Elephas maximus indicus: one gene and its partner. The protein of the gene in region 2 binds, or shares a complex with, the protein of the main gene of each other region. Links are inferred from orthologs where the notes say so. Each region holds a gene or a part of one and is shown on either strand. Other genes may lie near its edges. The genes, in order: IQSEC2 and ARF1.

The links.
Region 1: the proteins of ARF1 (region 2) and IQSEC2 are in contact, whole or in part, in a crystal structure (PDB 6FAE), measured with the Homo sapiens proteins. The link is inferred for Elephas maximus indicus from reciprocal best matches to the Homo sapiens genes ARF1 and IQSEC2. Residues at the interface, in NP_001019397.1 of Homo sapiens: Arg19, Gly24, Leu25, Asp26, Ala27, Lys30, Thr31, Ile46, Pro47, Thr48, Ile49, Gly50, Phe51, Asn52, Val53, Glu54, Thr55, Thr64, Trp66, Asp67, Val68, Gly69, Gly70, Gln71, Lys73, Ile74, Pro76, Leu77, Trp78, His80; in NP_001104595.1 of Homo sapiens: Arg810, Gln811, Gln841, Arg845, Val846, Gln847, Gly848, Glu849, Ala850, Gln851, Val853, Glu854, Glu858, Asp879, Phe882, Ile883, Phe886, Ala887, Ile889, Leu890, Asn892, Thr893, Asp894, Tyr896, Ser897, Pro898, Ser899, Val900, Arg904, Met906.

Annotation. Positions count from the first base shown.
Region 1 is NC_064846.1:115,398,111-115,409,291, reverse strand, and holds the start of IQSEC2 (IQ motif and SEC7 domain-containing protein 2), read right to left. Parts: upstream 4,774-11,181; 5' UTR 4,539-4,773; coding exon 3,835-4,538; intron 1-3,834. UniProt on the Homo sapiens protein: Is a guanine nucleotide exchange factor for the ARF GTP-binding proteins.
Region 2 is NC_064820.1:232,615,769-232,627,493, forward strand, and holds the start of ARF1 (ADP-ribosylation factor 1), read right to left. Parts: upstream 5,342-11,725; 5' UTR 5,236-5,341; intron 1-5,235. UniProt on the Homo sapiens protein: Small GTPase involved in protein trafficking between different compartments. Modulates vesicle budding and uncoating within the Golgi complex. In its GTP-bound form, triggers the recruitment of coatomer proteins to the Golgi membrane.

The DNA of each region.
Region 1 (11,181 bases), on a different chromosome or scaffold from region 2:
ATCATCATTTCCTCCCACACCAAGTATAACGCTCACAACACAGTGAGGGTAAGATAAAATGATTTTCCCTCCTGGAAATGAGCAACCTCTGGGAAAAGTACCCTAGACCCCAAAGGAGATAGATTTCCTCAGAGCCCCTCCCTAGGTGCTCTCTTTCACTCACTCATTCCCAGCACCCTAAGGTCCTGCCAGAAGCATGAGAACACCCCCACTGCATGCAGGAAGACAGCCCAGCAGTCGTGCTGTTAGGCCACACATTGCCCTGGTCGTCAAGAACAGCAGGCTGGTCCCTCTAGTTGCTGTCTCCAAATGTGAGCAGCTTGTGGGGTGGGGGTGGGACAGAAGCTGGAGAGCTACCACCAAAACAGCTCCAACTCACCACTGCCTACAGTACAGCCTGAGCTGGGCCCATGCAACAAGCGTGGGAAAGGCAGCTCTCTTCAGCGTGGAGCAACTCAGCAGTGGCCCCTAGCACTCCTATAAATCATTCTGGGTGCCAGAACTGCAAGGGAGGGCCAGGTCAAGATCAACAACAAAAGCAGCACTCTTCTCTAATCACCTGGATGGAGGCAACGATTTCAGGTAAAAAGATCCGAGCATTGGTGAGGACCAACAGCTCCGTAAAAACAAAACAAACCAAGCCAACCAAACCCTCACGTACAGAGGACCAGCGTCCAGAAGGAGGTAGGGACTCCTTTTGCTCTACACTGCACTAGAAAGGCCACACTTACAGAACAGCAGAAGGGATACCGGCATACTGGAGCCTATCCAGAAGAGACAGTGCAGGAGGATGTGGGAATCACATGTAGATAATATGAGTGGAGCTGGACGTGACAGCTGACATCCAATGCAGTAAAGAGCCAAAGTTCACAGGATTGGGAGTCTGTCTTATTAACAGCATCACCTCCAGTGTGTCATTTCACTTCTTTGAGTTTCCTCTGCTATAAAATGTGGATTGTGATGACAGATGCCCAGGATTATTGCGAGGACTAAATAAAACCCCTAGGCAGAGCAGACCCCCAACAAGCGGCAGCTCAGCCCAGGCCACACTCTCTCCTCTTTGTCCACCAGAGGGAGCCTGGGAACCAGGAACGCCCAGCTGGTACCAACTCTACCTATCCTCCCCCAATGCTGCAGCCTCTGCTGCTAAACTCCCACTCTGCCTGCCCTCGCTTCCAGCAGCAGCCTTCTCACCCACTCCTTAAGAACCCAGAACAGGTCTGGCAGGGGAGTCATGTGCAGCAGCACTGGTGGCAACATTGGCTACTGAATCAACAAGGCCCTCATGACGCCTGACCAGGAGGGAGAGTGGAAAGAAGGGAGACACGGACTTCTTCCCTCCCCCACCAACTCCCCCACTCATCCCAGTCATCTCCTCCTGCTAAAAGCATCTAGATAGTCAAGGCTCTTCTGGCCTCTTTCAGTTCAGTACCTGTCCAGCTTTTGAGGCCAAGAGATTCCTGTGGGTTAGAAAGATCTAGTGGCAAAATAGCAGGCTTTGGAGATAGGCAGACTTGGGTTCTAGTCCCAGCTCCATTAATAGCTAGCTGCATAACCTTGAGCATGGTTTCTTCATCTTGGAACCTCAGTTTCCCCATCTCTAAAATGGAGCTGATTATGCTCACTGCAAAGGGCCTGTTGTAAGGGCCAAAAGAGCTAATGATGGATGTACAAATGTTGGTTAATACATGATTGAGAGAAATGCAAAGTACTAGGTAAACCTCCTTATTAATCCAGTAGGAAACATGAAGAAAGAAAATCCAACAAACAACCTGGAGAGTGCACAAAAGGAGGGAAGGACCAAGAGGCAGGTCCTGCATGGATGGTAGAAGTATGGAGCTCAAGAGCAAATGGGCTTCCAGCCAGCCCGGAGATCTGACCCATGTCAGCAGGATGGATACTCTGAGGATAATGGAATTTTGGAATTGGGAAGGCTCAAGTCATTTCATTGGGCTTTATACCTGATTCAGGAATTATGCTTTCTCCAGCTCTCCCAGACCCCCATCTGGCCATTGCTGGACATGTCTAGACAACCCCCGCCCCCACCACTTGAGGCAGCCCACCGCATCACCAGACAGCCAGATTGCAAAGTTCTTCCTGATTTATTCCCAAATCTTCCAGTTGCTCCTGGTTCTTCCCTCTGGAGCCCTCGTATAATGAAGCTGCTTCCTCTGTTACAGGCCTGACCCCTCTAGAAAAGTCTTCTGCAGCCAGGCTCAAGGACCACAATGCCCCATCCAATCTACCTCTGCCCTCACCCCACCATGGCCCTTTCCTGAATGGGCCTTAGTCTATCTGTATCCCTCTTCCGGTGTGGTGCCCCAAGCTGCACACAGTCCTCTAGGAATGGGCTCCTGGCATCACTGCCTAGGCATGACAGCCCACCCCTCTCACCCCCAGACTACTCTGGGCCAGTCCACACCAACACCCAGCTGAGGGTACGCTGCAGTGGAGTCCAGATGAGCCCTCAAGCTGCAGCTGCTTCTCCTGGGGCCCAGCCATCTCAACCCAGCACCCCAGCCTGCTGCCTCACCACGGGGGAGTTGCAGAGAGCTGTCTCCCAGCAGACTTCCTGAGGCAGAAGGCTTCCCCACCCCCAGCCTCCAAGAGACACTCCACTGGTTGTGGCACATGGTAGGACCAGCTGAGCAGCGGGGGGGGGGGGGGGTGCTGTCCATTCGCTTGAGGACTTAAGACTTGCTCTGTGGTGTGGCTGGATTAGTCACAGAACCATCAAATCTAGGCTGTAGGGGCCCTGAAAGAGCATCCTTTGCCTTTTAAAAAGATATGGAGGAACCGATGGGTTGAGAGAGGAAGGGACTCAGTCAAGGTCACAAAGCCAATCTGCAGCAGAGCTGGAAGGGGAACCCAGGTCTTCTAACTCCCAGTTCAGTGTTCTTTCCAATACAGCAGAAAATAAATAAGGGAGACTTTAGGGAAGCCCTTTGAGTCAGCATGCCCTTGACCCTCTCAGCTTGAAACATTTATCCCACCCAGTTGATGATGTTACCTACATGAAAAAAGTGGCACCAGCCCCATATGTCCCACCAACCTAAGGGATATCGTTGAGGTATCCCAAATAGGTGGACACACAGATTCAAGCACAGAAACTGAAAAGCATCCAAGAGGGGAGATCCTTCCTGGTACAGCTCTTTAATTGGGTGTTGTTTTTCTTGAAGGGTGGAGAGGGGGTGGACTTTGAGGAACTAGCCAAGGGCTGGCCTCCATCTTTGCTCCTCAGGGCCAGGATGTGCTGCAGTTTCCCTTAGAGAGATGTCTCAGCCTCCAGCAGCCATTCTGGTCCCCACCTGCCTCTCTGGAAAAGGATGGAGCTGAGGCTGCCAGAGGAGATGAGATCAGGCCTCCACTAAAAACCTTCAGAGGAGACCCAAACAGGCAAAAAAAAAAAGGGGGGGGGAGGTTTCTCTCCTTGGGAATCTGAGTTGACAACACCATCACCAACAATAAAAATCCTAACCAGTACATCCAAAACAAATAAATAAATAAATGAAAAGCCATCCTCTGACAGCGATATAGCTAGGGGTTGGGGGGGGTGGGGATGATGACTGCTCTAGTCCTTCACTGGTCTCGGCTTTGGGCAAGGGGAGACACCTGCACTCATCTGGCCATCCCAGTCTGGAGTGGCTAGGGAATGGGTGTCGGCTGGATGAGGAGAACCCAGCTTCTCCTGGTGGGTTGGTATAGTGTGAAAGAGGGAGAGGAGGTAAATGGAAATCCGGCACAGGCTTCTTACTTTATCGGCCGGCCAGACAAGTTGAAGAAGGATCTAGAGGGGAAGAGAGGGAGGGAGAAGTACAAACACACGTTCCTTACTTTCTCTGGAGGGTTGTGGCTGGACTGGTGCTGGTACTGGTGCTGTGGCCTCCCCCGGCCCCAGGGCTAGAGCTCCTGGATGCGCCACGACTCAGCTGGCCTCGCTCCCGCGGTGGCCGCGACCCCACGCCCACTGCCGCGGAATAGCCAGCTTCCTTCTCGCGGCCAGAGAGAGCTGGCCCGGCCTCCCGCCCGCCACGCTCGCGACCTAGGGCTGGATTCTCGTGGTGCAGATGGCACTGGGCCACATCGCGCTCGCGGGGTGGGTAGTTAGTGTCCTGGAGCGGGTAGGAGGCTTCCCGCTCCTTGTCCCGATACACAGCCTCCCGGTTCTGGTAGGCGCCGTCCCGGTTCGGATATCCCACGTCCCGAGCCGCCTGGTGGAACTGGCTCTCCCGCAGCTCGCGATGGTGGAACTGAGTCTCGCGTAGGTTCTGGTACTGGCTCTCGCGGCCGGGGCTATCCCGCGCGCCGTGGGGGTCCCGGTGCAGCTCCCCGCGGTGTAGCTGGCTCTCTTCCCTCAGGTCGCGGTTCTCCTGGGTGAGCTGGTCCAATTGGCCCTCCAGCTCTTCAATGCGCCGCCGCTGAGTCTCCAGCAGCTGCTGCTGGCTTTCGATGATGTTGTTCAGCTCCAGCAGGTACTCCACCGCCCGGTTGGGGCTCTCGGAGCCCGGGCCGCCTGGAGTCCCCGACCCTGCCTCCATCCTGGCAGCCCAGGGGCAGGGGAAAGGGCACGAAAGCCCGGTCCCCGCTCGCTCACGGCGCCACCCTCCCCCGGGCCCAGCCGGGGGAGGGGGCCGGCGGGACGCGAGGGCGCGCACCGGGCTTGAGGGCCCGGGGGCCCGGGGGGGCCCGGGAGACAGCGCTGGGGCCGGCGGCACCGGGAGCAGGAGCTGAAGCTGCCGCTACCGCCGCCGCCGCCGCCACCGCCACTGCTTGGGAGGATGCGGGCCACGGCGCTCCGCCCGCTGCGGAGTCGCTGCGTAGCGCCGCCGCGCGGGACCGCCCAGGCCGCCGGCCCGCCCTCAGCCCCTGGCTCCACCCGGCTTGCCCGGCCCACCCCCGCGCGCTCCACCTGCAGCCTCCAGCCGCGTCCACAGCCCAACTGGCTCCAAGGCACCGGCACCAGACGGGGGTCAGCCCCATCACAGCCTGCTGGAGATCTTGCCATTTCACCGGTCCCTAGGGCCCACACCTAATGCAGCCTAACGAATCCCTCCATCCCAGCCCGCTCCAATGTTCCTCAGATCCAAGCCGTACTGGGAACACCCATCCCCTGCAGCCCCCAAGTCCAGGCCACCCGCGGACTCCCCATCCCAACCACTAGGTCTGCCAATCCCAACCAGAGTTAGACTCCCCATCCCAGTCAAGCCCTGGACCTCCTTTCTCAGGAGGCCTCCCTCCAGCCCCCATCCAAGCCAACTCCAGTCCCTCCAGCCCAGCCAGTCCCCAGCTCCCCCAATCCCAGGAAGTCCCTAAACTCTCCATCCCAGCCAACTTCAGGATCCCCCATCCAACCCAGGCAGTCCCAGAAGTCCCCATCCCAACAAGCCCTGGGACGCCCCCATGACAGCCAGTGTTAGGATCAAGGCTCCATTCATTCATTCATTCATTCATTCAACCCTCATTTTCTGCACTCCTTTGGAAATGCTACCCCCATTCATTCCATCATCTCCATCCAAAGAAACTGTACCCATCCTTTAAGGCTTAACACAAATACCACCTTACCGAAACCAGCCCTGATTTCCCCAGTTAGAAGTATTTTCTCTCCTCTTGACCACCCACTGCACTTCCTCTGTCCCTCTCTTGTGGCACTTGTGGGACAAGTGGAACTCTGCTTTATAGCACATTTGTTTGTGTTCTTGTTTTATGTCCTCAGCTAGTCTGAGTTCCTTAAAGCCAGAAACATGCCTTAATTTATCTTTGTGAACATGGTGTAGTAGAGGAGAAAGCTTGAGTTTTACAGTCAGATGAAATTGGATTTAAATTCCATCTTCTCCTCTCTGAACTTCTATTTCCATATCAATAACATCTACCTCACAGGAGTAGTCTTGGGGAAAAAAACATGCAAAACACCTCGCGCAGAAAAGACAACCCTCGAATGGAAAGAAAATATTTGCAAGTCATATATCTGATAAGGAATTGGTATCTAGAATATATAAAGAACTCTTACAACTCAACACCAAAAAGACAAGCAACCCAATTTAAAAAATTGGCAAAAGACTTGAACAGACACTTCTGCAAAGAAGATTACAAGTGACAAATAAGCACATGAAAAGATGCTTAATGAAAAGTCATCAGGGAAATGAAAGTTAAAACCACAATGAGATACCACTTCACACCCACTTTGATAGCTAAAATAAAACAGAAAATGAAAAGTGTTGTGGAGCATGTGGAGAATTTGGAACCCTGGTACATTGCTGGTGACAACGTAAAATGGTGCAGCCTCTGTGGAAAACAGTTTGACAGTTCCTCAAAATGTTAAACATAGAGTTACCATATGACCCCACTCCAAGAGAAATGAAAGCACGTCCACACAAAAACTTCTACAAGAATGTTCATAGCTAGAAGAAACCTCAAATTCCTTAAAAAAAAAAAAAAAAAAAGGCCAGACTCACTGGACCAACAGAGACTAGAGAATCCCCCAAGACTATTGCCCTGAGATACTCTTTAAACTTGGACCTGAACCCACCCACTCCTGGCGGTCATCTTTCAGCTAAATAATAGATTGGCTCATAAAATAAACAATATCACCTGTGAGTACTGTGCTCCTTTAGATAATCATCTATATGAGACCAAATGATCAATATTTACCATAAAGCAAAGATGAGAAGGTAAGGGGGGGGGCAGTGAAGCTAGATTAATGGAAACGGAAATAATGAGAATACTGACACATTATGAAAGATGTAACCAATATCACTGAACAATATGTACAGAAATTGTGAAATGGGAATCTAATTTGCTGTGTAAACTTACGCCAAAAATAAAGACTATTTAAAAAATGCTTTAAAAAAGGAGGCGGGGCCAACATGGCACTATCAACAGAAGCACCATGCCCTCCCTCTGCAACAAAGACCTGAAAAACTAAGTAAACAGATACAAACATCAGTCCTGGAACCCTAAGTACCAAATGAAGGAATAAAGAACTCAATCAAGCATCAAATGGAATAAGAAACTGACAGAGAACAAGGGGAGCTACAGAGTGGAGGTCCCATACCAGCTAAAGTGGCTGGATTTGCCATTTTGGGCTACAGCCACCAAAGAACTCAGACAGGAAGTGTGGGAAAGCAACTTCATGGAGCACTCAACAGGTGACAGAGCACCCAGTAACCAGGGATACACACTTTCCCACCCCACACCTTTCTTCCCTCTAGGCAGCCTCCACCGCTTGCCAATGGGCCGTGGTCACTCAGGCAGAGAGATACCAGCTCACTGCCACCAGGGCTCGCCATCTTGGACCTCAGCCACCAAGGACTGCAGACAGAGAGTACAGTAAGGCAACTCCATGGAGCTCCCAGCAGGAGACAGAGCACTCAGTAACCAGGGATATACGCTTTCCCACCCCCCATCATTCTTCCCTATAGGTGGCCTCCACTGCTTGCCAATGGGCCATGGTTGCTCCACCGGAGAGACACTGGCTCACTGCCACTGGAGTTTGCTCCACCCACATAAGCCGGCCCTTTCAGCACCATTTTTTTGTTATTTTTTTTTTTTTGGCTTTCGTTGTCGTTCTCTCTCTTCCTTCCTTTCCTTTTTCCCACGCAGCTAGCCCTGTGTGCCATCCCTTCCCCTTCTTGACAGGCTTTTGTTTTTTTTTTTTGCTTTGTTCTTTTTCTCTCTGTGTGTGTGTTTATTTGTTTTTTGATATATTTTTTTGAGCTTTTTTGTTGCTTTTCTCTCTCTCCCTTCCTTCCTTTTCTTTCTCCTGCCCAGCTAGCCCCATGTGCCATCCCCTCCTCTTCTTGATGGGGTGTAACTTTTTAGTTTGCTTTGTTCCTTTTTTTTTTTTTTTTTGGTTTAATTGTTTGTGATATATATATAGCCTTTTTTGTTGCTTCTCTCTCTCTCTCTCTCCCTTCCTTCCTTTCCTTTCTCCTGCCCAGCTAGCCCTGTGTGCCATCCCCTCCCCTTCTTGATGGGCTGTGATTTTTTTGGGTTTGTTTGCTTTGTTCTTTTTTTCCCCTTCTTTTCTTCTCTCTCTCTCTCCTTTCCTTCCTCCCACCCACCCAGCCCTGTGCACCACCCCCACCCCTTCTGGAGGGGCTGTGCTGCACAATTCAGTTGGAGAGTCACTGCACTCAGCCTCCCTGGGTCTACACCACCGTCATCGACTGGCTTCCTCAGCACCATTTTATTTATTGTTTGTTTTCTTTTCTTTTTTTCTTACTGTTTCTTCTCTCTCTCCCTTCCTTCCTTTCCTTTCTCCCATCCACCCAGCACCGTGCGCTGCCCCCAGTTTCTTGTTGGGCTGTGCTATACCACTTGGCTGAAGACCCTCTGGCACGCTGCCTCCCAGGGTCTGTGCCACCCCCACGGGCCAGCTCCCTCAGAGCCATATTTTTTATTTCTTTATCTTTCCCCTTCTCCTTTTCCTTCTCCCTCCCACCTAGACCCTGCACTACCTCTGCCCCTTCCTGTTGGGCTATGCTGTGCTGTGCCACCCAGCGAGAGAGATATCAGCTCATCACCACTCCAATTCTGCCCAGCCCCTAATGGCTGGTGCCCCCGCCACCATATATATATATCTTGCTGTTGTTTGTATTTTTCATTATTATTTATGTATATATATATATATACGTTATTTTGTTTGTTTGATTGTTGGTTGCTTCTCTCTCTTTCCCCTTTTACTTCCCTTTCTCTCAACCACTTAGCCCTGTGTACCACCCACACCACTTCTCAACAGGCTGAGCCACACGGCTCTGCTAGAGAGCCACCAGCACATGGTCTTGCTGCATCTTCCCCACCTCCCACCCACTGAATCCTACCACACTGCCGTTTTATTTACTTTTTTCTTTTTCTTTTTTTACTTCATTTTTTTGCCTTTGTTTCTCTCCTTTCACCCATCCACTCAGCTCTGCACATCTCACCCTCTTCTTTCCCTTGTGCCTATCTGTACTGTGCATGAGTGCCATGCCCTTAAGTGGTACCGACTTTGGTCCCTCAGACACTGCCCTGCACTGCCCCCAGCCCCATCCTATTGCCCCCAGTTCAGTTCATGCCACAAACTAACCATCCCTGCCCCTCCACCCCCGCTGGACCCACCCTGATACACCATAGCTGAGTCACCAGCCCTGCCCACCTGGACAAGGTGTTCAGAAGTATCGTGCACACAGGCAAGCAAGCAACAAAACATACCCAGCCCGCCTACCAAGACATAATCAAATAAAACATAAAGCAGAATGAAACAATCAAATCTACAACAAATAAATGAAGAAAATAATTCCTGAAAGTCCCAGAGACAGCAGACAATATTAAAACATTAAAAAAAAAAAAAAAAAAAGGAGAGGATGGCTCCAGAAAGCGACAAAAATAAAATACCAGATGACCTTCTGCCAGAAAAAAAGGCACTGGAACTACATGATAGGGAATTCAGATGTCTAATATTCAGGGATCTCCAACAGATGAAGGAAAATGCAGACAAAAATAAGGGAAAAAATAGACAAAATCATGGAAAAGACAGACAAAACAATGGAAGAGATCAGGAAACTAATGCAGGAGTAAATCGTCAAATAAACAACAAGAAATCACACAAAAACAGCAATTAGAAATCCAAAAGATAAACAACAAGATTTCAGAAATGGACAGTGCAATAGAAGGTTTTAGGAGCAAATTTGAAACAATGGATGAGAAAAAAAAATTTTTTTTTTTTTGAGGACCAGTGAAATTGAAGACAAATCCTTGGATACCACTATCTTTGAGGAAAAATCAAATAATGAAGAGAAATGAAGAAACTCCGAGAACGATGTGGGATACAATCAAAAGCAAAAACTTGCATGTGATCGGAGTTCCGGAATAGGGGGAGAAAATGGAAAACACAGAGAGGATCATGGAAGATTTGCTGATAGGAAACTTCCCTAATATCATGAAAGATGAAAAGCTGACTATCCAAGAAGCTCAATGAACCTCATATAGGATAGACCCCAAAAATAAAACATCAAGACAGATCATAATCACACTTGCTAAAACCAAAGACAAATAAAGAATCCTGAGAAAAGCTCAAGAAAAATGAAAAGTCACATACAAAAGGGAAACAATAATACTAAGCTCTGATTACTCGGCAGAAACCATGCAGACAAGAAGGCAAGGAGATGACATATATAAAATCTTAAAAGAAAAAAACTGCCAACCAAAAATAATATAGCCTGCAAAACTCTAGCTCAAATGTGATGGTGAAATTACGACATTTCCAGATAAACAGAAATTAAGGGAATACATAAAAACCAAACCAAACTTACAAGACTTATTAAAGGGACTCCTTTGGTTAGAGAACAAACAACATCAGACAACAACCTGAATCTAGCACATAAGACAGCATCAGCCAGATACCAACATAGATAATGAACTGTCAAGGATAAAACAAAACTAAAAAATTTACAACAGGGAAAATTTACAGAGATGTCCATCTGTAAATGACAACAACATCAGAACAATAAAAAAGGGAATAAATGGTGTGCATATAGAAATTTCAAATGGAGAGGAAGTCAAGGCTTTAACAAGTAATAAAAGACTGGTTGAAACTTGGGAAGCTAGGGGTAAATTTCAAGGTAAGCACAAAGAAAGTTAACAAACCTACTCATTATAATAAAGAAGAAAAACAAAATCTGAGAAAACACAAAATCTACAAAAACAGAAGAAACAAACAAACAAAAAAAGAATTCAGCACCAAAGAGTAAGAGGAACAAAGAAAACATCAGCACCACAAAAAAAGCACTACAAAATTACAGCAATAAACTCATACCTATAAATAATCACACTGAACATAAATGGCTTAAATGCACCCATAAAGAGACAGAGAGTGACAGAACAGATTTAAAAAAAAAAAAAAGACCCATCAATATGCTGTCTACAACAGATGCACCTTAGAAACGAAGACACAAATTTATTAAAACTCAAAGGAGGAAAGAATATATCAAGCAAACAGCTACCAAAAAGAGCAGGACTAGCAATACTAATCATAGATAAAATAGACTTTAAAACTAAATCCACCATAAAAGACAAAGAAGGGCATTATATAATGATTAAAGGAACAACCCACCACCATGAAGACATAGCCATAATAAATATCTAGGTACCCAATGACAGGGTTCCAAAATAGATGAAACAAACTCTAAAAACATTGAAAAAGGA
Region 2 (11,725 bases):
TCCAAAAAACCCTTTCTGGGGGCCAAATAGCCCCTCTGAGAACTGCTGTCATGCCCAACCAGGCTTGCCTCCTCAACCTCAACTCTGTCCATTCTTCCCTTCCCCTCCCCCATTCTATTCCTGGCAGGTCTCCAAGAACAGGAAGCTCACCCCTACACCTCAGGGCCTTTGCACTGACTAGTGTCCTTGCCAGAGCCCTGGTGGTGCAGTGGTTAAGAGCTTGGCTGTGCACCAAAGGTCGACAGTTCAAATCCACCAAGCCGGTCTGTGGAAACTCTATGGGGCAGTTCCACTCTGTCCTATAGGATCACAATGAGTCAGAATCGACTCGAGGACAGTGGGTTTGGTTTTGATTTTCCTTGCCTATAAGAAGCTTCCTGTTTCTCACAGACCCCTCGCTCCTTTGTATCTCTGCCCAAATGTCACTTGTCAGGGAGATTTTTCTCCCACCTGGCTTTGATAGGTCTCTACTGCATTTAACTTGCACTTATTTCATCTGTTTACTGTCTGTCTGCCTTCGCTCCACCAGGACAGAGTTTTGTGTTTTGATCACAGCCCAGCACTCTATGAATGGTATTTCCTCTGCCTGGGATATGTCCTCCTTCCCACCGCTATCAGTTTTCAGTTTGGCACTAGGTAGAGGTGAAAATAATTGTAGAAGAGCATTTACTAGGGCCCTTAATGATCAAAAAGATTAACCACACATCTACAAAGATGTTTTTCCTAAAACGTGGGCTGTCAGTAAAAACATAACAAGCCACCGATGGTATTTCATGCTGTCCATGTGGTCCAGTACCCTACATTCCTTCAAATGTAACAGTGTAGAGAGCAGGAGCGTTAGAGACACCGTTAACTTCTCAAGGCAGAAGTGCGGCATCTCAGCAATATAAAAATACCATGGGCGGGATATGTGTGCCTGCAAAATCTGCTTTCTAAATTTGCCTGCAGATATCTTCAACTCATTTTCATTTAATCTTCCCAGTAATTTTCAAGATCTTCTATCACCCTGGCACAAGAGAAATGCTCAAAGCTATAAATACTTTGCCAAAAGATACAGTCTAAATATAAATTAATGGAATCAGTCAGTTAATGAAGAATTGCACTCTGGTCCATACAGGAGTAGGAAGCTGCTCCTTTACAGGCATGCGTACTGTTTAGAGCACTCTTTAAAAGGAAATCCTCTGTCCTGCGTCCCTCTGTCTACATTCCTACTCTTCAAAGGACTCTACAGAGACTTTACAAATTGTTTTCTTGGCTGTTTGCACCTAAATCAAACTGATCACCTGCGGTTGCCAACCACGTGAGTTGAGAGTAGAACCGTGTGCCACAGGGTTTTCAAGGGCAGAGTTTTCCGGAGATCCCCAGGCCTTTCTTCTGAGGCACCTCTGGACGGACTCAAATCACCGACCTTTCAGTCAGTAGCCAAGTTCGTTAACTATTTATTTGTACCACCCCAGGGTCTTCAAATCAAACTGACAGGATACTTTACAAACTTCTTGTTAAAAATCTTTGGTATCTCAGAGGATTAGAACCACTAAGTTTCCTGTGCAGCTTCCATATGCAGTAGTGCAAAAGTTACTGAATGTATGAAGAAAAGGAAGAAAAAAAAAAAAGACATTCTTTTCCATAAAATCAAATACTACGACTTGAAGCCCTTTAGAAATGAATCCTTCTAATCTGCTAGCATTTCTTTTAGGAGTAAAAGTTGTTTCCAAAATACACACTCCTACATCCTTAAGATGTGCACAGATCATAATCAAATCTCTAAGTAACTTAAACCACACAGCAACAGCACCCTTCAGGCCTCGGAGATGTATAAAAAAGTCTGCCTCCTAAACTGAATAGCTCCCAATGCTATGTTTTTGAAATTTGCCTGGCTTTATGTTTTTTCCTGTCTCCTCCCTCGCTGTCACTTAAACCATGCCCCTTGCTATTGTCAGGGACTGGAAGGAACTCCTTCTTCCCTTTCTAGTCACTGATGACAGATTGTTAAGCTCCAGTTACCACTGTATGTAAAACCAGGAAACGGGATAGTATGGAGGTTGGGTTCCTCAATCAGCCAGCCTCCACCATTCTTTCCAGTTTCTACAGGGCAGCTGCTGTGACAAGACTCTGTGGGTGAGGGCCAAAGAGATTCTCCTAGAAATAAAGAGTCCTGATGTTTCTGTGTTAAATCTTGCCATTTTTTTCCAGCTAATCAGGCCATTTGACCCACCTGAGAATGCGAAACTACCTTCCTGAATAGCTGTAAAAGATGAGGTGCAACTATATTTCACAGAGCTTATGACAATCACAAGAGGGTACAAGCCTAAGGATGAAAAAATGATCTTAAGTGTTATCCAGGTGACCTGGAATTTCTATCTCCTCCTTTCTCTCCCACCACCCTTTACTTCCCCATACGTAGGGTCAGACCCAACTCACAATTAGGTCAAAATCTTTTCCAAAAGCCTACTTCAGAGGATGCTAAGAGGACATCTTTAACAACCACCTATGCCAGTAAAATGGCTGGCAGTTCAAATCCGCCAGGTGCTCCTTGGAAACTCCATGGGGCAGTTCTACTCTGTCCTATAGGGTCGCTATGAGTCTGAATCGACTCGACGGCGCTGGGTTTTTTTTTTTTTATGCCGGTTAAGGAGCCATACAGCACAAAAAAGGTACTTCTCATTTAATGTCAAACTCCCAACTGAAAGAAATGTCTGTTTCTCTCCCAACTACCTCTAACAGATCTGCATTTTTATTTCCCTTCACTTCTACTAATACCATTATGAAGGCTGAACGGGTCAAAGGGAGAGTCCCTATCACGGACAATGTGGACAAGGATAGTCTGTGAAAAGCATGGCAAATCCAGAATGGCTGAGGTCTGATCATCTGTAAAGTAGAACGATAACAACGCTCAGGAAGGTGTGTGCAAAAAAGTGTGAAAAGCCTGATCTGTGATTAACAGCCAATTTTAAATCCAGACATATCAAGGCAAAATTTAATTAGAAAAATCTGAAAAAACTGATTCAATGCTCTCAAGCCAAATTAATATACCATTGTAAGAACCTGCACAACAGATTTTTTTTTTCCCTTGGTTGGGTTTACTCCTATGGCCCTTTGACTCCGGAGATCACCTCAGCAGTTGATGGCCCATATTACATTTTCCTGACGTGAATAAGAAAAGCCAGACTGTACCTTTGTTGAGATTCAGGCCTGTCTGGTTTTGGGTACAGACAGGTCAGCAGTTGAAGAAGTCCGAATGTCCTCTTCATATTGTGCAATCAGCTAAACACCATGATTTTTAAAATCCAGAACCCTAGAGAGCACAGAACTAGTTTCTGCTTTCTACTAATTCTCTCTCACTGATGAGTGGTGGAGTGTAAGTCAAGCCAGCTATTATCCAAACCAGTGATTTTAAATCTCTCTGGAGTAGCAATTCTGAGTATCTGAGAATACCCCCACACGAGCAGCATATTTCTAATGCTGACATTATATTTTTCAACATGATATTTAGGAAGACCAGTAAAACTCTACAATGTGGCACATCCAGGACTGAGGACCTCCACTAGGAGGTTACCAGAAGATCTTAGTGCAAGCAAGATAAGAACCTCTGACCAACGTGGCCGATGGCGATGACACCACAGAGCAGTAGCACTTTGTTAACCCGTGGAGAATGTCAAGGCAGAAGACCACAGGATCAGTACACCATGCAGTGACCTTATACTCCCTCAGACACACTGCTGGAAACACCAGGACCAGTCGTGCACACAGCAAGTAGGAAAAAGTGCTGACACTAGTTCTGAAAGGAGAACTGGGACTGACAACTCCAACACCAGTGGTGACATCAACTGTGCAGCTCTTAACAGAAACTTCTGGGACCACCCAAAAGCTTTTGAAATTTCCTCGTTTTCTGCCAGCCATTTCTTGTGCAATTCTGCTCAAGTCATTTAAAACAGCAGTTTGCTTTTCCTTTCGATGAAATGGGGAGTGTGCCACCAGGCTCCGAGGTACTGTCTCAAATAATTACTTAATGTTTTAAGTACTGTATAATTGTTAAGCCTTATTAACAAAACTACCATTTTCCATGCCGTAACAACCCGGATTGTGCAACAGGAAAGCATGAGGTCAGCTCTGCTAAAGAGACTGCCTAGACTTTAGGAGCAAATTGTTTTACAGGTAGGTTAAAGATTCGCCAGCTGCGAAAGAGGTATTCTTATCTACTCCCCAAGACATTCAAGGAAAAAGTCCTAAGGTTAAAAAAGCAAGGATAATTCAGTCCTCTAAAGGCCACAGGAGCCTCGACTGCCGATTTACTCAGAAGGCAGCTCCCTGAGCTTGGCATCCTTTAAAGTCTTCGCATCTCCTAGGCTACGCCGGGTTTGTCTTAGAGGTCTACAGATCTCACTCACGTGAAAGCCGAACCTCCATTCGGCAACAGAGGCAAAGCCCAGGGCCCCTGCCCTCAGGCAGCTCCCAGCCGCTCCTCCCCTCCCCCAGCACCCGCCAGGCGAACTCCGACTCCCAGCTTCTGAGCAAACAGGAACTGGAGGCAGGAGGCCTAGGTTCAAACCCTAGCGATCTGTGACCTTCACCGAGTCACGGAGCCGATCCAAGACTCAGTTTCCTGATCCCTCATAAACCTCGAGGCTTATAAAATTTCCTCTCCAGAGGTCGGCACCCGGAGGCGCCTGGAAGGGGCCGGCTAGACGTTCATCCGTCCTTGGGAGACCACCGCGCCCCGAGCCCTAAGCGCCCCGCTTCCTCCTCCACCCTGCCAGGGCAAAATGACTCAAACGCGCCGGCTCCAACTTCCTTTCCCTGCGCCGGTCACCGGCGAGCGAGTCCCGCTCGAACAAGCAGTTCCCGAGCAGAGGAGGAAGCAAACCTCTCGGCTTCGAAGGCGGGGAGGGCTCCAGAGAAGGAGCAGGAAACGAAGGCTTTTTAAAGGAAAAGCCCGACCTCCCGGCGAGGCCAGGACCGAAGCCCGCGCCTCCGGATCTCGGGACCGGCGAGGGGGAGGCGGCGAGGGTGCCGGGCGAGAACGCGCGGGAGCGTTCGGGGTAGCAGAGGCCAACAAGGGGGACACGGGAGGCGCCGACCAAGCCCTCCGCGCCCCGACCGCTCGGCCCAGCCCCAAACCGCCCGGCCCTACGGCCTCGCCTGCCTCCGGTCCCGCCGCCGCCGAAGGGGCGAGACACGCGCGAACCCCAGGGCTAGCCCCGCCGCCTGCCCGCACCGTGCCCCCCGCCGTCTCACCCCTCGGCGGCCGGGCGGCTGCTGCTGCTGCTACTGCTGCTCCGAGCCAGGCGTTGGTTTCGCTCCCACAAGATGGCGGCTCTGACGGCGGCCACGTCAGTGCCTGCTGCCGCGGGAGACGCCGGGTAACTGGGGCAGGGACATCGCAGGCCACGCCCACACCGCTCCGGGTGCGCATGCGCGGGCCGCGCGCGGAGGCGGAGCCGGCGGGCGAGCAGCGAGGGAACGGCGCCCCGCCCCTGGCCGGTCCCGGTCTTACGGGTCCAGGTGCCTTAGCGGTCCACGCGATCGGACGGGCAGTGGGCGCGCTGGGCGCCGGGCCAGCTGCGCCTCTCACCGACGTGGAACCGGGGCCTGGAGCGGTGGGACGGGGCCAGGCCCTCCTGTCCAGTCCCTCCCGTCCGGTCCATCGCCGGCAGAAGGAGCCCACCTCCCTGCGGCCCGCGCGCGGCATCGTGGGGGGCCCCGTGGCCACCACCAGGCGGCCACACACAGAAAAGGGGGTTTCCAGGGAGCTTTCAGGCCTCCGGCGTCCTCCTCCTGCAAACCGGAACGTTACTGGACGCCGTCCAAGGGCCTGGCAGAGACCAGAACAAACGCGCTTGTCCCTGGAGCTGACCTGCGGGAGCACCGTCCTATATGGAAGAAATAAATGATTTACTGAGTCCGGTAGTACGGGGTCAGCAGGGCAGGAAAGCCAGTGGCACGAGGGAGAGTGATTGCAGGGGGGTGGTTGGGTGACCTCTAATGAGGAAGGGACAGACTTGACGGTGAGGCTTGGAGGAGACATTTCCTGGGGAAGCCTCCCTGAACCGATCACTCCCCCCAGTTTCTCAGGGTGCAGGAATCTGGCTCTGGCCTCCACTGTGAGGCTCACTTTGGCCTCCAGCTGACCCCTAGGGCTACATCCTCCCATCACCCTCATGTGACTTTGAATCCCCCGCGGTGGGTGCTCCTCATTCCAGAAGCTTTAGTGGAAATGCAGGGAAGCTTTCCAGCCCAGTGCCCTAGGTGTTGTGGGTGGCCAAAAGTGGAGCCTTCACTTGGGTCCTGGCATAATCACTCCGTGGCGAGTCCAGGGGCCTGCCTGATGAGGCGGTCAGCACCAGAGCCTGCAGAGCAACTGTGGCCCGGCAGACAGCCTCCTGTCCCCAAGTGCACCCATCACCCACCTGGCAAAGGCGGTGTGGCCTGCTCGCTGGGCTGGCGTGGCCCGGGTCTCACGATGCCAATGCTGCCATCACCCCAGACAGCAATGACCCTGTGACCCACCTGTCTCCAAATACTGCTTTTCTCCTCCTTCTGAAATAATGAGAACCCAGGCCCCCATAGACAAGTCCCTGCTCCAGCCCCCAAAACATGTCATCTGTGGAAGAGCCCACGGCTCCCCTGCCTGCAAGCGCCACCCCGTTCTCTGCCTGGGACACAACTGCCATCACACTACCAGCTCAGATGTCACCTCTGTCAACTGCTGTGGGGTTGTCTGTTTAGGGGTCTCTCTCCCATTCGGACCTATAACCCATTACCACTGAGTTGGTTCCAACTTATATGACAGAGTAGAACTGCCCCGTAGGGTTTCCAAGGCACTAATCTACACGGAAGCAGACTGCCACAGCTTTCTCCCTCAGAGTGATTGGTGGGTTTGACAGGGGTTAGCAGCCCAGCACTTAATTACTGTGCCACCAGGGTTCCCCTCTACAAATACTCCTGTGAAGTGCTCCTGGGTCTGCATTCCCAGGGAGGGACATGGAGGTTCCCTAGAACTGCAGTGGTCATGGCTCTCACCCCAGGGAGCTGGCCTGTGGCTGGTGTCTCCCACAGTCATCCTAGAGATCCTAGCCACATGTGAACCTTGTGATCACAACTGCTTCAAAGCTGAGGAACCGAGGAAAGGAGCAGTGAGGAGACAGACTTAGAGGTGGCAGTACCTGAAAACTGGAGCTCACCTTCCCTTTTCTTTAAAAAGAAAAAAAAAAAAAAAGTGAAGGCTATCATACATAGGAAGGAGTGTGTGTAAGATACACACAGTTTTAAAAATAAATGAATTCCAGGTTAAGAAATGTAACTTCCTCCCAAACTCGGCCTCCTGGTTTTGCCCCCAGGGCAAGGGAGCTGTCTTCAGGTTAAAGCAGGCACACCAGGGGAATAATTCCAAGATCAGGAAGTGTCAGGCAGTTATTTAGCGAAACTAAGGCCCAGGTGCTTGCCCAAGTTGACAAGGGAGTTAGGGCTTCCGTGTCCCTCTTGTGTGGGACTCCCAGGATAGAATCTCTTCAAGGTGGGGCCTAGAGTGGGTGCCTTCTCAGCCTTGGCCAGGAGGCGGCGCAGAGCACAGGCCCTGGGGTGTCCACATTCCGCAGCCACCTTAGCTGATAACTCAACAGCTTGGGGAGATCCCAACCCAGCTTCCCTTTCTGACTAACCTGCCGGGCCCCTTGCCCCTGACAGATGCTCAGAGCAGTCAGGGCTGAACAGGACAGCATCCTGAGGAAGGTGGGCTGGAAGGATGGGCAGGACGGGCCTGAGTGAAGGGGCAGAAGTGGCCGGTTTGGCTGGAATGGAGGTGTGAGGAGGGAGCACTCATACACTCAAGGACACCAGCCCTGCCCCCAGGGGCGGGTGGATGTTAAAATTTGGCTAGTACTTTATGTGAGAAGTCAGGCAGCATACTCAAGGTCATATGGCTAGTTCTTAGCCACACTGGGACTAGAACCCCAGTCTGCCTGTGGCCAATGCCTTCAGTCTTCCGCTCACCTGCTACATTGCCTCTGGAGGGTGAAATTTTATCTTGAACCCCTCCAGGGATGGGGAGCTCACCACTGCCCAAGGTAACCCTTGTTCATGGGCATATCTGCTCTGCCCGGCCTTCCTGCAGTCCCTGTGCCCTCAACATAACTGCTGGGGGAGGCTCTTCACCAGGCCCCATCCTGGGGGAAGCTCCAAAGTTGGGACTGAAGCTGGTCCCCGGCTAAGTCAAGGCTCTCAGCTCAACACCCAGTGCTGAATTGTGGGAAGAACTTCAATGATTTTTGTGGAGCACGGCGGATCATCTGGTTCTCTATGCTCCCCCACCTCCATCTGGCCCTCTGAGGGGCCAGAGGCAACCGCTGAGACAGGGCTTCCATGCGGATAGGGATGGGATGGAGAAAGGACCCCATCCCCTTCCCTCCTCCAGGCCCACTGCAGGAATGATCATGGTCTGTTCTGACCACGGGGGTCCTCAGGAGGAGGGCCTGGACAAGCCCCCACACTCTACCCTGTGACTCCCCCTTCCTCGGGCCTGGGCTGGGGTCTAGGCCAGCCAGGCCTCAACTGCCACTCTGGTTGTGGTGGGGGGAGCCTTGTCTGGCAAGGGCTGAGCTCACCTGCGGCCACGCAGCAGCTGAGAGGCAGCGTGAGGACCACCATCCAGTACCATGAGGTGGGAGAGAACTGGCTCAAGGGGCACCTCTTACCCCCCAACCCAGTCCCTTCTGTAGCATGTCCGTTTCCCTCTAAAAAACCAACCAACCAAACAACAACAAAAACAAAACCTTCTCCTGCGTCATTTTCCCCATCTCAGAGAAGGTACCCAGGACCCAGTCTCCAGAACCGGGGTCACTCTGGTGCCATCCTTTCCTTGGTCCCAACCGCTCTGAGATGAACTCCTGTTCATGCCAGGGAAAAGGCCAGGACCGCCCTGAGCCTAGGCCTTCACGCTTGTGTTCCCTGTGCCTGGGACACTCTCCCAGGATGGGGCGGCCCCTCCGAACGTAGCTCAGCTCTCACCCGGCCAAGTGCCCTTCTGGCAGCAGCTGTGATGGCCACTCCGCCTGGTCTTGCATTCTCTTAGCCACACTTTCCACGGTCTGAGGCAGGCAGTGCTCAGGCCCACATGTGCAGCAGATGAGGTGTGTGATGGCCACACAGCTCACGGGACACACACTGGGCTGGGAAAGCACAAGTCTTCATGGTTATTGGCCTCTCACTGACATTTGGCATTTCCTGCCAACTTGAATGTGGGCAGAGTCAAGAATGGCAGTTTTAGCAGGACCTCTGACTCTGTCACCTGTGGAAACCTCAGAGACCTTCAGGTCTCACGGCAGCTGCTGCAGTAACCTTGGGCTCCTGTCTCTGCTCCCCACTAAGTGGAAGTGACGGGGGGGATCTCCCTCACCAGTCTTGTCACAGGTGCAAATGACAGAGACTGATAGCTCTATGCACCACACTTGCCCTCTTTTCCACAGGCTTTGCTTTTCTATTTGTTACAGCTTTGCGAGGTATAGTTGAAATATAATAAGCCGAACGTAGTTATTGTGTACACTTGTGTGCACGTGTGGCCCTATCACCACAACTAGATAAGAAGATACCTGCCATCCCAAGCAGTTCCTCTACCATGAAGTGTTTGAAGCTTTTGATAACATGTCAGTTTCTTTCGTGACGGTGGGTCGTTTATTTTATGAAAAGGTCCTGGGCTTTGCTAGACCCCTGGGGGGCTCTCTGGCACAAGAACCCCTGCCTCCCACCTCCCAAGCCAGATGCAGAGACAGAACCAGGGAGAAGAAGGGTTTTGGGGGCCCAGGGTCCTTGGTGGCCCTCTGTGCACCTCCAGCCTCAGCCCCTGCCACAGCCCACCCTGCTGTCTGCCTACTGACAGAAGCGCCTGCACTGTGGGGTCTTGGCAAGTTGTTTGTCTTCTCTGAGCCTCGGTTGCCTCATCTCTCAAATGGGAGTGCTGAGGGTGGTTGTGCTGTTTAAGAGGGCCAGTGCCATCCAGGGTTTGGACCGGCCTAGAAAGAACACACTTGCGTCAACTTCCCAGCAGGCCCAGGCTCTCGGGCATTTCTCTCTGCCCCCAGTGTCCTCTTTTTGTGGCCACTCCTCTCCACCGTGCCTGGCCTGCTTTCACTCCGGTACCTACTGCCTGGCCCATGCCCCTCGGTTGGGTGGTGAGATCTCTGGGGAATTAGCTATGCCCCCTACCCCAGCTAGCGACAGGGCGTGTCTGCTGGGTTGAACAGCTAATCCTGCCCTGCTGGTAGAAAGGGGCTGACTTTGCAGCCAGAGGATTTAGGGGAGATCCACCAGATAAAAGCACGTCTCCCGTGAGCTGGGAGATGGGGGCCTTGTGGGGAGGCTGGAGTTGCCTGGTGGGTGAGGGCTGGAAGGGAAGAGGAGTCTGCTCTCTGAGGCTGTGTGTTGGGTGCGTGGTTCCCCAGTGACAGCATCCGAGTTCCCTGGAGGCTGTGTTGAACCTCTGGCCCACCCCAGAGTGTCTGACTCAGCAGGTCTGGGGTACGAAGTGAGAATCTGCCTTTTTAGCAAGTTCCCTGGTGATGCTGATGCTGCTCGCCCAGGGACCCACTTTGAGGGCATTGCACTAGTGTGTGGCTGCATCTGAAGGTAAATGAGGGATGCAGGGGGAATGGACTGGTGACCTGCCTGCTCCTTCTAGCCCCGAGCTCTCAGATTTGGGGATTCCACTGGTGGGCCCTGGTGTGCTGACAGGGTGGAGGCTTGGGGGCATGGGCTTTGGAGAGTCTGCAGTCAGGGCCGTGGGGGGCAGAGCATGTTCTGGGAAGAGCCCCCCGGCAGAGTTGGAGAGCTGCTCCATCCGCCCTAGGAGTGCGTGGTGCAGGAGGGGTTGGGCCCGACCTTGGACAGATTTTTGCCCACCAGCGACTGGCCCCAGCCCATGGAGAACGTCAGCCCCTCTGTAGCCCTGCCACCTGCTGGAGAGCACCTTCTCCTGCCGCTGGCCTTGAGGGCCCATCCACCCAGCAAGTGGCCTCCCCAGGACCCAGGAGGCACCAGAGATAACTCCCACCCTGTTTGCCACATTCGGTCTGTCCCACAGCCCCAGGACTAGGACCCATCCTCCTGGTGGGCGAGGACCCTGAGGCTGTCCAGGGCACCAGGAAAGGCTTTTTCTTTTTCCACTTTTGTTGGGGCATACTTTATAGACAATGATATGCACAGATATGAAGTGTACAACGGTGATGTGTTTTACAAAACCAACACCTCAATAAAGATACAGAAGATTTCCCTCACCCACGAGAGTCCCTCTTACCCATTTCCCTCCAGTCCGCCCCCAGGCAACCACTTTTGTAATTTCCACCCCCTGATTTAGCTTTTCTTGCTCTAGAACTTTGTATACACAGACTCACGGTATGTATCTTCTGTGCCTCGATTTTTTGGCTCAGCGTAACGTTTTGGATTCATCCTGGTGTTGCCTGAATTGGCTGTTTGTTCCTTTTTGTTGCTGAGTGTGTTCCATTGTGTGAATACACGGCCGTTTGTTTATCCATTCCACTGTTGATGGACGCTTGGGTTGTTTCCAGTTTTTGGTGTTTACGAGTAAAGCTGCAATAAACATTCTTGTACAAGTCTTTTTGTGAAGTGTGTTTTCACTTCTCTTGGGTAAATACCTGAAGTGGAATTGCTGGCTTGTGGGTTAAGTGTTTGTTTAACTTTAGAAGAAACTGCAGGTTTTCGAGGGCCTGTGCCTCTG